Tamandua tetradactyla: one gene and its partner. The protein of the gene in region 1 binds, or shares a complex with, the protein of each later gene. Links are inferred from orthologs where the notes say so. Each region holds a gene or a part of one and is shown in the gene's direction. Other genes may lie near its edges. The genes, in order: SPTLC2 and ORMDL3.

Region 1 (7,077 bases):
GTACTCTGATAACGTGCTATCTAGGTCCCAGGAAACTCTTCTCTGTCCCTAGCCAATTCCCAGAGGACCACCTGGGCCCAGTTACATAAGCTAATTGGTATCTGGCCACTATTGTAAAAAATATTATTTAAACTGCATGTAAGCAGTTAGACTTTAGAATATCAGAAGAGGAGAGGACAGAAAAAAAGAGAGAGAATCTTAACTGAGAGGAGAGGAGGATGCTTTGCATGGGACTTTTCCAGTTGGTCCCTGAAAATGCTGTCTCCAGGATTCCCCAGCACTCCTCTTCAGGTGTTGTTGGTGCTATTCCACCTGGTGATGCAACTATGTCTAATTTCTAACAATCTTTTAATTGCTTTCCTAATAAATCCTGTTTTATATCACTGAAGTCTGTGTTGTCTGTGAATCTGAGTCTCTAAATTAAGTGGCCACAAATATCATGTTGCCTTTCATGCAACAGAGAGAATAGCCAATACTCTTTTTTTGGGGGGTGGGGGGGGGGGGTGGCGCATGGTCCGGGAATCGAACCCAGGTCTCCCGCATGGAAGGCGAGCATTCTACCACTGAACCACCCATGCGCCCTATAGCCAATACTTCTTTAAAATGCAATTTTATTGAGATACATTCACACACCGTACAAACCATCCAAAATATACAATCACTGACACAGTATCATCACGTCGTACAACTCCATGATCAACTTTAGAACATTTTCATTACTCCAGAAAATAAGTAAGAAGAAAAAAAGAAAACCCAAACCCTCCCATACCCTTTATCCCCCCTATTATTGACCCATAGTATTGATGTGGTATTTTGTTACTGTTGATTAAGAATATTAAAATATTACTGTTGGGGGTTCGAGGGTAGTTCAGTGGTAGAATTGTTGCCTGCCATGCAGGAGACCAGGCTCGATTCCCTGGCCCATGCACTTCCCAAACAAACAAGCAAACAAACAAATGAAAAAACAAACAAAACAAATCTTCAACAAATGGTGCTGCAAGAAGAGGATACTTACACGGAAAAAGAATGAAATATGACCCCCCACCATACAGCATACAAAGAAAAAATATATATATTACTGTTAATTATAGTCCATACTTTGCAATAGATACATTTTACCCCCATATAACTCTCTATTATAAACTCCTTGTAATAGTGTCATACATTTGTTGTAGTTCTTGAAAGAACTTTAAAATATTTGTACAGTTAATCATAGACATCATCCACCATTAGATTCATTACAGCCAGGACATTTTTTAAAATCAGGCTATTATATAATTTTATTTTGAAATCAACATTACTGCTGTTTAATTTGCAAACAGTCATATGCACACATTTTAAGTGTAGAATTTAAGTTTTGACATAAGTATACACCCATTTAACCAACACCCCAATTAAGATGTAGAACACTTTTATCACTTCAGAATGCTTCCTTTTGCCTTTTTGTATTCAGTACTCTCCCCTTCCCCCCTCCCTAAGACAACCACTGATACGATTTCTACCCTTGTAGAATAGTTTTGTCAAATAGACGAAATCAAATTCTTTTCTGCCTGACTTCTTTTGCTCAGTGTTGTAGCCTGTACTTTTTGAGTACAATGGGACAGGCCCTAGTACTAAATATTTTTCTTATTTAATGCCCACGACAATTCTATGAGGGAAGTCTCATTTTATAGATGAAGGAACTGAGGCACAGAGGGTTTAGGCAACTTTCCCTAAGTCATAAGGCTTCTAAGTGCTGGAGCTGGGTCTCTAATCCTATTTGTCTGACAACAGAGCTTTTGCCTCTAACTACTGCCTTTCAAGATAAAGAATTCCAAAGCAATGCTCACACAGGTGTGTATAAAGTTCACTAAGTAGAAAGGGAATAATTTTATGGGGAGGCTGGAGTTCAAGAAATGCTTCAGGGTTGAGGTGGTTTGAGCAATCTTGAAGGAAAGGAAGAGGTGTCTCCTCAGTATTTAGCATAGAACTTTGCATATGAACTCAGTGGAATGATAAAGTGGCTTATGCATCAGTAAGGAGTTATTTTCCTGCTTACATGGAGCTTAAGGTGTTTCCTACAGCCTTCTGAGGCATCTTCTTTGCGATTTAGCAATGAAATAGGAGTGATCAGATCATTTGTGCATTATATCATTCAAGTTCACAAAAGTCCTGCAAGGTAAGTAATACAGGTATTGACTTTGTAAGACGGGTGAGGAAACCAAGGCTGAGAGATTGCATGATTTGGCTAAGACCACATATGGTGAGTAAGTGGCAGAACAAGACAAGAAGGTGGTGTCCTGCCCTCAGGAGGGAGGGACTGGCTAATAGGATTCCTCTAATTTAGCCTGGCTCCTTTATTCTTTTTTTTTTTCTTTTTCTGACTCCTTTGTTCTTGGGCTCCAGTTTCAGGCTTTGTTCCTTTCTGCCTTTGCATTTTAGCTTCTGAAGATTCTTTCCCCTGGAATACCCTTCTCATTTTCAGTTCTCCAAATTCTGTTCATCCTCCAAGATCAAGCCCATTCCACATTTTACTCCCAAGCCTTCTGCCTACTCCAATCCATTCAGCACACTATTTAAGCTTCAGGTCAACTTCCTTAGTCCTGCTTCCAACCAGATTTCTGCAATGTATTTAGAAAGTCTAACTTTATCACTGCCTACCTCAACGGATCTCCTGCCCCCAACCTCTCCAACATTCTGTTGACCTCTTATTATTGTTTACTTTATATCTGTACATCTTGTCTCTCACTAGAATGTAAATGCCACGAGGGCCAACTCCTATTCCTTTTGTAGCCTCATCCATCTATAACCGACCTAAGTACATTTGGGGATCACAGCGTTTATTGACTCAAAGAGGTTATCTTTTCTATCTACCTGCTGTTAGATTGTTCTACTACTAAATCATGCAAAATTAACACCTTGTCAACCTCCTTTCTAAAGCTCCCCAGGTGACAAGGCAGAGGCTCTCATAGGCACACTCAACAACTACCAATAACTAACACTTAATGAATACTTAGTAATCGCCAAATCCTTATAAAATATACTACATATATTAACTCACTTAATCTTCACAACAACTATTATTATCCTCATTTAACAAATGAAAACACTTAGAGGTCACTCAGCTGGTAAGCTGAGTCTGACTTAAACCGGACTATCTGACTCTAAAGTACAAACTCTTAACTATGATACTATATTCCTGACAGGTAACTGAAAGTAATATAGACCCATTTCCTTTCTTTCTAATTCCCATGAGAAGGTAGAAATAAAGGACTGAGAAAATAATATTTATTGGGCTCCTTGTAATGGGCCAGGCATTATTATAGGTGCACAAAACATTATTAACATGATTCTCTCAATGACTCTGTGAAGCAAGAAGCATTAATTCCACTTTACACATGAAGAAACTGGCTCCCAATGTAAATATTCAAGTTTAGCTTCCAGTTATTGGCAAAGTTGGAACTAGACCAGGTTTTCTGACTTTCAGGGAGGTGCTGTTGAGAGGAGATCGTATAGAAAACCCTGACAGGAATAACCGTGAAGGGCAAAGAGATATCTAAAATGGCTACTTAAACGTGTTAATTTATCTAAGGAATGTGTAGTGCATATTTAAGAATAAGAGAATGCCAAAAAAAGGCTGTTCTATTAAGACCCACAGAGGAATTAGCTAATTAAATGAAGGAGCTGCCTGTCTTGGGTTGAGAAGCAAACTCGAGAAGTTCCCGGGGGGTTGGGGAGGTACTAAATTGCAGCAAGGGTGCCATCAATCTAGGAGAACCAAGGAATCCTCTCGAGATTTAGGCTCAACCTCCTTTTTCCCTCCTACTCTATACGGCTACTTCTTCCTGAACCCCGCCTCCTTCCCCCAGCCTGGACCATTAAACAGCCAAGCCTAAACTCCCGACCCGGCAAGGGCCTCCAATCAGGTGCCAGGTCCTCAGTCCCTCCAGAGAAGCCCCCGTCGACCCCGGCGAGTCGCTTCACTCTCGCCGGTGATTGGCCAGGCGGCCACAGGGGTACGCCTCCTTCTCGTCCAGATTGGCCAGCAGCGCCTAGGCCCACTTCCCCGTTTAGTGCGTCCCCATCCCGGTTCCCCCTTTGCTGCGGAGCCTTGGGCGAGCCGCGTCCTCCGCGGGAGTGGGCCCCACCCCGATGTGACGGTCCGGCCTGGAATTGGCGGCGGCGCGGCAGCCATTTCCGGTTTCGGGGAGGTGGGTGGGGTGCCGAGCGGGGCTAGGAGCCGTCGCCGTCACCCCGGCCAAAGCCGTCTCCACAGTCTGCCTTGCTCCTGGTGCTGCCGGGACGATGCGGCCGGGGCCAGGAGGCTGCTGCTGCCGCCGCCCGCTGCGGGCGAACGGCTGCCTGGCGAACGGAGAAGTGCGGAACGGCTACGTGAGGAGCAGCGCCGCAGCCGTCGCAGCCGCTTCCGGCCCGGTACGGTGGGACCGCGCGGCCGGGCGGGACTGGGCGGGACTGGGCGGGAGAGCGGTGGGCCGGGATGCGGCGAGCTGGGGGCCTCGCGGAGCGGGCGGAGGGGCGGCCGGGCGGGCGACGTCGCGGTGACCGCCTGCGGGGATCGGCACTGGGCGCGGCTCAGGTGTGCTGGCTCAAGGGCGGCTTGGAGACTTTCCGATTTCTGCGTGCCTGACCGTCTCCCTCCCTTTGCTCCCGAGGTTTGGGATCTGCTCAAGAGTCCCGAGTCCGTTTTTAGACTTGACCCGACTAGAGCTGCGGGCCGCCTCCCAGGGGAGGCAGTGAGTGGCCCCTCGGACCCCTATGGGATCCGCTCAAGGCTCTCGGTTCTTTGTCCCGAGGCTCCTTGCTCTCACCTTTGTGGTTGCTTCCCCTTGGAGTCCTGAAGGTGTCCAAGGAAAACCACCCTTGGGGTCCTAAAGAGGCAGAGAAAGTTAGGAGGTGGTACGAGGCGGAAATGCCTCGCTTCCTCCTACCACGTTTTAGATCTCCACATGCTAGACGTTGGATCTTAGATCTGGCACTATATCTCGGTCCTCTGCCTCCAAAGCATTATATCTTTTTACGTTGCAGATGGGGAGACCCTATACCGTCTGCAGGAGAGACTTTGAGTTTCGTGGTCCCTAGGACCCTTTTAGCAAGGGAATTGTTTAACCTTAGTGACTTGTGATGAGTCTCTATGCTAATTAACCAAGACTGAATGAATCACCACCCAGCTCAGGCAGTTCTAAAATATTTTGGAAAGTTCGGAATTCAAGAGAGCAGTATGTCAATCTTCCAATTCTCTGTGCTGACAGGTATTCTGCTGAGAGGTATTTTTTGAAGATGAGCCTAGTTAAAAAGATGGAAGAGCAGTGTGTTGTTGGAAGAGAACGTTGTGGTCATTTTGCAATTGACTTTTAATACTTATGTCTCATTCAGAGGTTTAGAAAAATATAAAACAGTAATCAGTTCTCCTTTGCAGAAATTGTGACAGTTGCAGTTTTTGACAGGTGATTTTAATTTACCTTTAACTAAATATATGCAGTCTTCTCCCACAGTTAGTGTATAGTAGATAGGCCTGTTACTGTTGATAAGAAAGAAAAAACAAAGCCTTTCTTCAGATCATACTGAGACATTGAGACCTGAGAAGTGGGGAGAAAAATACACACACGAAAAAATACCTGACCGCCCCTGAGGTTGTAGGGTGCAAGGCAAAATAATAGAACAAAAGATTTGTTTTCATTTCTTAAAAAATAATTGCGTGAGAGGAGTTGGTAAGAATCAGCTCATTATAAATGGTGGAAGATAGTTTTGTTTTCCTAGCAACGTAAGTGGCTGACTATATAGGTCAGAGGTGTGGAATAGAATATAGTAGGGAAATTTAATGGATAGGAATTAGAAAATAATTGCAAATGAGTAAGTGGAATAAGATTGCTAAGAAATAAAAGGAAATCGAGAGAATAGTGTTCACATTTTAGGGGTGCTTTGTGTGTAAGTGTTCTTTTCATTTTATGTAAGTTATCTTCTGATTTAGTTGTAAGTCAAATGCCTCTCGCCTATAATCACTAACAGTTTAGTATTTATAGGCATGCTCTTTTTTCAGAGGCTGCCAACTAATAACATTGGTGGCATTTGCAAGAATGGTCAAGTGGAATGCCCTGAGGAATGTTTAGGGTTGCAGTATTCTTTTTAGAAAACTACTTCTCAAGTCTTTGTTAAACAAAGACTAGGTCTGTGGCTTTGTGCACTAATATAGAGGAATATTGTCTATGACATTTTTTCCTTTCTTTTTTTTTTAAGCAAAAGAGCAGATCTTGGTAACTTGAAAGCAGTATAGAATTAAATTTTTTTGTTTGTTTATATTAATTTTGTTTTAATTACTATCTTCCCTTGCCAATTATGCCATAAAGAATATATATGAGATAGATGTTAGGCACACAGATATGTGTCATGCTTTCACTAAGATATAAATTTATATTATAGCATAGTTTTTAAACCAAGATATAAATTCATTTCTTGACATATCCCAACATTTGTCTTTTGATGAACAGGAGATCAGTTAGACTAGAAAACTTGTTAGGATCCCATCACACTCTTAAGTCTGTTTCTGAATTTGAAAGGATAAATGGATATGTTTAAAGAGCTACTCTGTTGAGTTTGGATTTATAGTTTTATTAAATAGATTCTGTGGTTGGACGAGGTATGAAACCATCAGGCGTTATTGGTTAATGATGACAGTAGACACAGAGTTTTCTCAAGGAAGAGTAGCAGTTAAACAATACAGTAATTTTTCCTCCCTGTCATTCAGATGGGTGGGAAGAAGGTCAATCCTTATGTAAGGGAGAGGGTGGCAATTAACCTTTGGGTAACTTTGGCAGATTTAGAGCTGGAAGAAACCTTCCGGGATTTATATAATTTAGTCCCTTTATTTCTTTCTGTGGATTTAGCATTTGATTAAATAAATATGACGTTTTGGTTGCCCCTAAAATATAATGCTATTGTTTGTTTTTCAAATTCCTTATTAACAGCACTTTAACAAAAACCTTTCATTCTTTATAGAAATTTTAAGATTTAGGCACATTTTACCTTCTTTAATTAGTTAAGTATGGAAGGAAAAAAATTATTTGCATTTGAGATAGTTTT
Region 2 (7,685 bases), on another chromosome or scaffold:
AAGGTAACAGATGAACTTGGCCTTAGGGATGAATGGGGTATACCAGATGGAAAAGGAGAGGCGGACAAGTATTGTAGGCCAAGATAAGAGCAAGAGAGGGTAAGGTATGTTTCATGAATCAGTGTGGCTATAGATGGGGAAGTGTGGTTCAGTTATGTACTTCAGCTAATATTTACTAAGAATCCGGTATTTGCAGGAAATGCAAATAAGAGTAAGACATGGAGTAAACAGCCCTAGATGGGGGAGGAGATAGTGAACAGATATAGCATCTTCAATGCAGTGACAGAGGTGTTAACAAACCTCTTGGAACAGGAGGGCCAGTGGGGTGGGCAGGAATGGCTTTTGGGAGAAATGCCACTTCCTAGACTTGTGACCTTTAGCAAAACATCTAAACTCATTGTGCTGCAGTTTTCTCACTTATGAAACGGGAATAACAAAAGTACTTCACAGCGCTGTTTTGGAGTAAAAGAGTTTATACAGGCCCAGTGCCTGAAACACAGCCAACACCTAATAACATCAGTTGTGATTGTTTCTGAAGGACATATAGGTGTTAGGCAGGGGAAGAAGGAGATAAGGGGCAAGGGCCACCCAGAATTTCTAAATAGGTGCAGCCTACTAGGGGTACAGATGCAATTGAAAGGGTGCTGGGGGTCCTGTTTTGAAACTGTCAATGCAGCAAGCATACTTTTTAATACCCATTGCTCTTTTGATCCGTAACATTCGTCATTTTCTAAACTGCTTTTGGTCATGGGAGAAATGCCAATTGTCCACACCAAAAAAATAAGCAGATTGAGTGGTTCTTCAAGTTCTGCATTGCCCGTGAGTCCCAGAGGGAGGTCTCCTTCCCAGGCTTCGGCTCTGGCTGCAGAGGCCCTGGCCAGTACTGCCCTTTCTTTCCACAGCCCCAAAATAACCAACCACAGGGACCCGCAGAGAGAGGCCAGGCAGGGCACTGACCTGCGACGTGGCCAGTCCCTGCACACCCTCCTTGCTTCTAAGCTGCTCTGCAGCATTCAGGAAGTTCCCTCAGTGCTCCTTTGTCTGCTTAGCACCCGCCCCTCACGTGCCCCAGGGTGCTCCCCTACCACCACCACCCCCGCCCCCAAACAAAAACAGAAACCCAACTGCCAATTAAATAAATAGCTCTTTCCTTCCTTGCACTTGCTCTGGGTGTGACATCAACCCCTTCAGGAAGGGGGTAGGTCAGAGCAGGCTAGGAGTGAAGGGGTATCCTTCTCTTTCCCAGGGTCGGGGGAAGGGGCTCTGCTTCTTGACGCCCCACCTCCCTCCCCACTGCCCCGGAATCTGCTCTCTGTTTATTACCGTGCCCTCTGTTTGCTATCTCAGCTCAGGCCGGTGTATCTGTCGCAGGCAGAAGCCGTCCCACCCCGCCAAGTGGTAACACCCCAAGGCTGGGGAATGTGAAGTTCTCCCAAGATTGCAGACCTGGAGCTCCCAGAGCGCAGGGAAAAGCTGTGAGGGCAGCTCACTCTGTTTTGTTATTTATTTATTTTTTTGCATGGACAGGCACTGGGAATCGAACCGGGGTCTCCGGCATGGTAGGCAAGAACTCTGCCTGCTGAGCCATCTTGGCCCGCCTTTACTGCTTTTAAAACACATTTCATAAAAAAATGTAAAACTGTGTAGGCCACAATGGCTCAGCAGGCAGGAAGGCTTGCCTGTAATGCCAGAGGACCCGGGTTCGATTCCCGGTGCCTGCCCATGTTAAAAAAAAAAAAAGTAATACTAATAATATCACATTACACAAAGTTTGAAACTAGAGAATGAAAAAGATCACCCCTGATCCCTCTATCCTAACACAAGGTCTGTTTCTGTTTTGTTGACTTTCCATAGCCTAGTAAAGTAGATGCTCAAATATTTGTGGAATGATTTAATAAAAGAGACCCCCATTTTGTTTCTTTGTTTATTTAGTTAGTTGTAGGTTTACAGAAAAACCAGGTAGAATGTACAGTTCTCATATCCCCCCACCCACTCCCATCCTACATAGTTTCCTCTATTAACATTTGGCAAGACTCTATTTTTGCTTATCTTAAATGTAGTATATATACAGGTTTTTACAAACTTTTTTTTATTGTGGACAATTCCAAACATCAAAAAAGTAGATATAATACAAGGAACCTTTTGTTCCCATTACCCAGGTTCAAAAGTTATCACTTCATGGCCAGTAGTGTTTCTTTTCTTCTACGCCCAGATTATTTTGAAGAAAATTTAGTCATAGTATCATTTTGCCTACAAATATTTGGCATATATCTCTACACAGGATTTTTATTAAAAATATTACCACACTACCATATCATGCCTTAACATTTATAATTCCTTAATGCAATAAAATATTTAGTCAGTATTTGAATTTCCCTGATAATTCAATAAAATCTTTTTTTGTTGTTAAGTTGGTTTGTTCAAATCAGGGTCCAAATAAGGCTTTTGGCTGATATATTAATTTTACATCTGTAAGTCTCTTCTCTTCCTTTTCTTCTTCCAATTTCTCTTGAACAGCCCTGTTCCCTTCATGCAGGATTTTGCTAACTGCATCCCTGGGAGATGCTTCTGTTATTCTGCATCCTGATCTTTTCATATAACTTAGCAAACATTTTCCCATACTGCTACATAGATTTCACAACCATTTATTAAATGGCTGCATATCATTCCCTCCAATGGATATCATAATTTTTTTCTTGGGCATTTAGGTTGCTTTTAGGTTTCCACTAACAGGAATAATGCCTAATGAACATCACCACACAGTGTAGCTTTTCTTGTACACGGGAGGATTTCCTGAGAATATGCTACCAGAAGCGTAATTACCTGATTGCCCTTCCAGCCACGTGGCACATATTGCTACTTGCTTGTCCAGGGGGGTTGCATGTCCCTCGGTACCTCGTGAGAGCTGTGCACTCTGAACGGCGCCAGGGCCATTTGTGGCCAAAGGATGTTTGGTGAAAATGGGATAATTATGAGGGCAGAGAGCTAGAGGAGAAATATGATGACAGGGACTCGGGCTAAATAAAGTAGAAAGCAATCCTCAGTTCACCACAAATCCACAGTTTACATGGCACGGCTAGTAATCTCTCCGTTAGAGTCTCTATCAGTCACAACCTTACCCGAGATGTGGATCCAGTGTGAGGAAAGTAGCAAGGATCCAGAGAGTTTGAGCAAGTCGAAGGACAATGGAAGAATCTCAGAGTAAATCAAAGGAATCAAATGGGCTTTTTTTTTTTTACATGGACAGGCACCGTAAATCGAACCCGGGTTCTCTGGCATGGCAGGCGAGCATTCTTGCCTGCTGAGCCACCGTGGCCCACCCTAAATGGGCTCCTTTTGAGAAAAAAGGAAGAGGTTTTCTTTTTCTTTCTTTCTTTTTCTTTTGTTTGCCTCTATGGATGGTTTTGTGAAAACACTTAGTCGTTTCCTTATGGCTGCAGAAGGTTGGGTCTAAGGAAAGGAGCCTTCACAAAGCAGGAAACACTTCTCTAAGACACAGGAAGAACTTGTTCAGACTCTGGGGTGATTATCTAGATTTTGGGATTGAAGCTCTTGGGCCACTGGGCATGCAAATATTCGAGGAACCACATGTTCTCTTGCTCTGGTTGGTTCAAATATTCACTTGCCCAGGTGCCTCTGGGGGTCCCACCTTGTGACACCTTGTGACAACTGCTTCCTAACAGTCCCCTGGGATGGGTTGGGAAGTAGGCAGAGGAAAGTGCTCCCCAAGTTTCCTGGGCCAGTGCTTTCCTCCTGTCCCCTCGTTGTCATTTTAGGATGTGTTTGCAGTCAGTCAGATTGGTACATCATGCTGTGGTTTGATCCCCTATTCCAGCCCTGCCACACATACAGTGGCTTTAAAGAGAAGCTATGTGGGGGAGTGGAAACTACCCAGAGAAGGCCCTTTTGGGGACCTGGAAAGTGGAAATGAGTTAGGAGTCCTCAAAAGTTGAACCTCCTACAGAAATAGCTTCCTACAATGCAACAGGTGTTTTAGAATACATTCTTTTGAATTCACACAAATGCTGAAGGAACGATTTCACAGGTGCGGAATTGGTGAGATTAAGACAAATGAAATAATCTGTCCAGGGTCCCGCTGCTGGTACAGAAGTGCCTACACTACCTCAACCTGGCAGTAAATCTGGTGCTTTCCCTTTCGGGGCGTACAGAAACGAAAACTGTACACAAGAGAGATGGAGCCTCCCACACATTGACCTGGGAGAGGAATTCAGTCACCTAACTCTCCATTAAGGAGTATTTCCATGACACATGGCCTTCTTCTCTGCAGCCTGCCGGGGGCGGGGTGAAGGCCGAGCATGTGGGCTGGACAGGACGTTCTGAATCAATGCTGTCTCTGGGCCACCTACTCCACCCTCCAGTCTCTCACCCCAGCCAACATTGTAAGGACTCGCTCCCAGGAGAGCCCAGCGAGCCCAGGGGCCGACCTCGTGCGCTTTTTGGAAGAGCCAATCTGGGATTAGGGCGGGGGCGGAGAGATGTAGTGGAAAAAGCCTTTCCTTGGGGTCAGAATCCTAGGCTCTGGTCCAGGGGCTCAGCGGGAAATTTCAGCAAGTTACTTAAGACTCCAAGTTTCCTCACGTGCAAAACCGAAGTGACGGTAAGCCGCAGTTGGTGGACGAGGACGAGAAAGCAGGGATTTTTATGCGCCAAAGTCATACCATTTTATTATCACATCCGGGTGAGGCATTCGGTTCTGCGATTCCAGCGAGGTCGCGACAGGAGCAGCGGGAAAAAACTACAACTCCCAGGAGCCTTCGGGCAGGTCCGCGAGAGGGGCGGGGGAGAAACTACAACTCCCAGGAGGCACCGGGCAATCTGGCGCGGGGCGGTGACGTCACGGGGGCCGGCACGGGGCGCTGATTCGGCCCGGGCTGCCAGCGGGGAGGCTGCCCCTGCGGGTTGTTACAGGGCTGGGGCAGCAGCGGTCCCGGCGCTTGCCCCGTCCCGCAGCCCCCGGGTACCCGTCCTGGGCCCTCGACCTCTGGTTTCGCAAGGTGAGTCTGGACGGGCGGCCTCCGGGATGGAGGGGCCGGAGGGTCTTTGGCAGTAGAGGCAGGGGGTCCGGAGAGGAGTGGGGGCTGCCGGGGAGGCGTCCCGGGCTGGAGGAGACCTGGACAGCGTGAGAATGGGGTGCATCAGCCTAAGGGGCGCCCAAAGAGGGACGTGGGGGCGGGAGGTCGGGGTTCGGACGACCGGGAGGGGCGCTGTAGCTGGGAGTGGGGGGCGGGGAGCGGCTTGGCTTTGGGGATAAAGGTTTGGCCGCTTCCAAGGCTTGGTGTACGCGTGGAGATGGGGGTGGGGCCCTGGAACGGGCCAGGCTTCCAGTGCTAGGTCCCGGGCTGGGGAGCGGAGTGGGAGGCTCCTCCGGCGGCCGGAGGTCCCATTCAGAAAGCCCCACAACAATAGTGAGAACTCCGCCTCCTCGCTCCTCCCTCTTTCTGGGCTCTTGGGGGTTTGCTTCGGTACTCGCGGTCTTTCTTCTCCCACGGCGGAGTCCCGGAGGCCCAGCCGGAGCTGAGAGGTGAGGAACTGCAGCCTTTTCTGGGTTTGGAAGGTGGGCGGAATGGAAATGGCGTTGTGGAGTGCTGCCGGGGACTCTCCGTTGGGGTGCAGACCTGGATTTTTGTACCCTGAACCCAGAAAGCAAAAGGTTTGCGTAAAGGGCTGCCCTTACCTGGGGAAGGGGATGGAAAGCGCTCACCTGGCTGCTGCCCTGGGGCATACTCTGGCCTTGACTTAGTTGTCTGACAGACTGGCAGAGCCAGGATAGCAGTGTGGGGTGCCAGTGGGTAGGGGAGGGAGGAGGAGGAGTGGGAAAAAACTGCTAGCAAGAAAGTGGTTAACAGAACAGAGTTGCTGCAGGCACTGGTTTGGGGCAGGTTTTGAAACCACATCAGGGGCTGGTGCAGGCAGCCACCTGCCAGCTGTGGAAGTAGAACTTTTCAGGCTGGTCTGCTGTTGATTGTACCTCTGCTGGCCTCTTCTCCACGTTTCTTCCCTTCAGGGAGAGGGGTCAACTGATTATTTTACTAATGGAAGTGATATTTACCTTTACTCACAAGGGTGCTTCCTGGCTGTCAGTCTTTTTTTTTGGTTTATGGATTTCTTCTGCCTTTGTCTTTTGGGGGGCAGGGGGCAAGGAGGTGTTCCTGGGTTTTTCTCCTCTCAGTGCACCTAGTGTTCAGTGTCAGGAAGAAGCTTCCCAGAGCAGTTAGCTAGGACATGGGGTCTAGGCCCCTCCTACACCATTCAGGCTGGATGACAAGACCTGTGCCAGCCAGAAGGGGGTGTTGGGTCTTGTGATCTAGGATTCAACTAGGGTCTTGGCACTTTTGGACAAAATACTAGGGAAAACTAGAGGTCTTTCTATACCACCCCACACCTGGGTGCGGTAGTCTGGGTAGAGAGAAGGAGGGGAGGTGTCGGGAGAGCAGCAGTTTTGGTCAGACTTGGGGAACTTTTCCCTTCAGTTAGTAATAAGTCCTTCAAACTCTCACTTCACAGCCTCCGCACACACACACACCGAGGCTTTTATCTAGTAGTAGGTATCCCAGGGGCTGTGTTAGGGTAACTGAAGCCCCAAGGCCCTAGGAAGGTAAACAGCCGAGCTGGCTCTGGTTTTCTACTTCCTTAGGCTTCTGATAGGCCCAATTATCCAGCCTAATGGGCTAGGCTGATGAGCCCCAGGAGCATCGCTTCTTTCACTTGTCACCTTGGGCCAGCCCTTATGTTTGTATGCTGGGAAGATAAGTTATAAGGCACGTTTTCCCTGAGAGCTCTAAGCTTGGAGCTGAATGAGAAAAAGAAACTTGCTCCCATTATCCTGGAAATAGAGAAGGGACCCTTGGGAATTCTGGCTCTTGTGCAGACCCGCTTGGGATCCTGGCCAGAGGGAGACTGCAGATGATCTGAGAGGGTTGTTTGCAGTGGAGTGAAAAAGGTGGCCTTCTGGGCACTCCCAGAATAGCTGCATTTGGGGTCCCTTTCTGCATCTCCAGGAAAGATTGGTGAGGACCTTATGGTCTTCGTGAGGCAGGACATTCCCTTGAGCAGGAAGGTGAGTCAGTACACAGGCACCATCTGTTCCCATCTCCAGCTAGTCCAGGACCCTCAGGGATCTGGGAAGAGCCAAGCTCTGGACAAGGGACTGCTCATTCCCCTCCCTGCCTTCTCCACGTCACTTAACCCACTCTGGGTTGTTGCCACCATTGTTTCTTGGGCATGAAGGGCAGCCCTCCTGGTTCCTCCCGCTGCATAGCTTCTACCGTTGGAGTTGGGAAGGTGGAGATATGGTGTTAACTTACACCTGGAAGTAGGTCCTAGTTTGGAAAGAAGGCTGAGGTGAGGATAGGCGGGGCAGAGAAGGGCAGGAGGGAGGCTGGAGGTAGGGCTTTGTGTTCTTGGGAGGAGGGTGTTGCTATGGATTCCAGCTACCTGTGGGAGCGTAGAGTCAGCCAGGTTTTTTTTCCCATTCATTATACATTTTATTGTATTTCCTTCTGTACTTAAAAAAATTTTTTTTTATTAATTAAAAAAATTAACAAACAAAACAATCAGATATCATTCCATTCTACATATACAATCAGTAATTCTTAGTATCATCACATAGTTGCATATTCATCATTTCTTAGAACATTTGCATTGATTTAGAAAAAGAAAGAAAA

The links.
Region 2: the proteins of SPTLC2 (region 1) and ORMDL3 are in contact, whole or in part, in a cryo-EM structure (PDB 7K0O), measured with the Homo sapiens proteins. The link is inferred for Tamandua tetradactyla from reciprocal best matches to the Homo sapiens genes SPTLC2 and ORMDL3. Residues at the interface, in NP_004854.1 of Homo sapiens: Glu65, Thr66, Pro67, Met68, Ala71, Val72, Tyr75, Tyr86, Gln116, Phe118, Glu119, Asn120, Phe121, Tyr122, Tyr127, Trp134, Asp259, Glu260, Leu261, Asn262, Val267, Arg271, Ile279, Met320, Val495, Val496, Gly497, Phe498, Pro499, Ala500; in NP_001307730.1 of Homo sapiens: Met1, Asn2, Val3, Gly4, Thr5, Ala6, His7, Ser8, Pro12, Val16, Ser19, Arg20, Gly21, Ile22, Leu24, Ser25, Leu28, Phe63, Val67, Lys68, Gly69, Thr70, Pro71, Phe72, Glu73, Pro75, Gln77, Arg81.

Annotation. Positions count from the first base shown.
Region 1 is NC_135338.1:36,978,827-36,985,903, reverse strand, and holds the start of SPTLC2 (serine palmitoyltransferase 2), read left to right. Parts: upstream 1-3,983; 5' UTR 3,984-4,284; coding exon 4,285-4,413; intron 4,414-7,061; exon of another isoform or gene 7,062-7,077. UniProt on the Homo sapiens protein: Component of the serine palmitoyltransferase multisubunit enzyme (SPT) that catalyzes the initial and rate-limiting step in sphingolipid biosynthesis by condensing L-serine and activated acyl-CoA (most commonly palmitoyl-CoA) to form long-chain bases.
Region 2 is NC_135332.1:27,330,610-27,338,294, forward strand, and holds the start of ORMDL3 (ORM1-like protein 3), read left to right. Parts: upstream 1-4,490; 5' UTR 4,491-4,618; intron 4,619-4,865; exon of another isoform or gene 4,866-5,015; intron 5,016-5,434; exon of another isoform or gene 5,435-5,542; intron 5,543-7,685. UniProt on the Homo sapiens protein: Plays an essential role in the homeostatic regulation of sphingolipid de novo biosynthesis by modulating the activity of the serine palmitoyltransferase (SPT) in response to ceramide levels.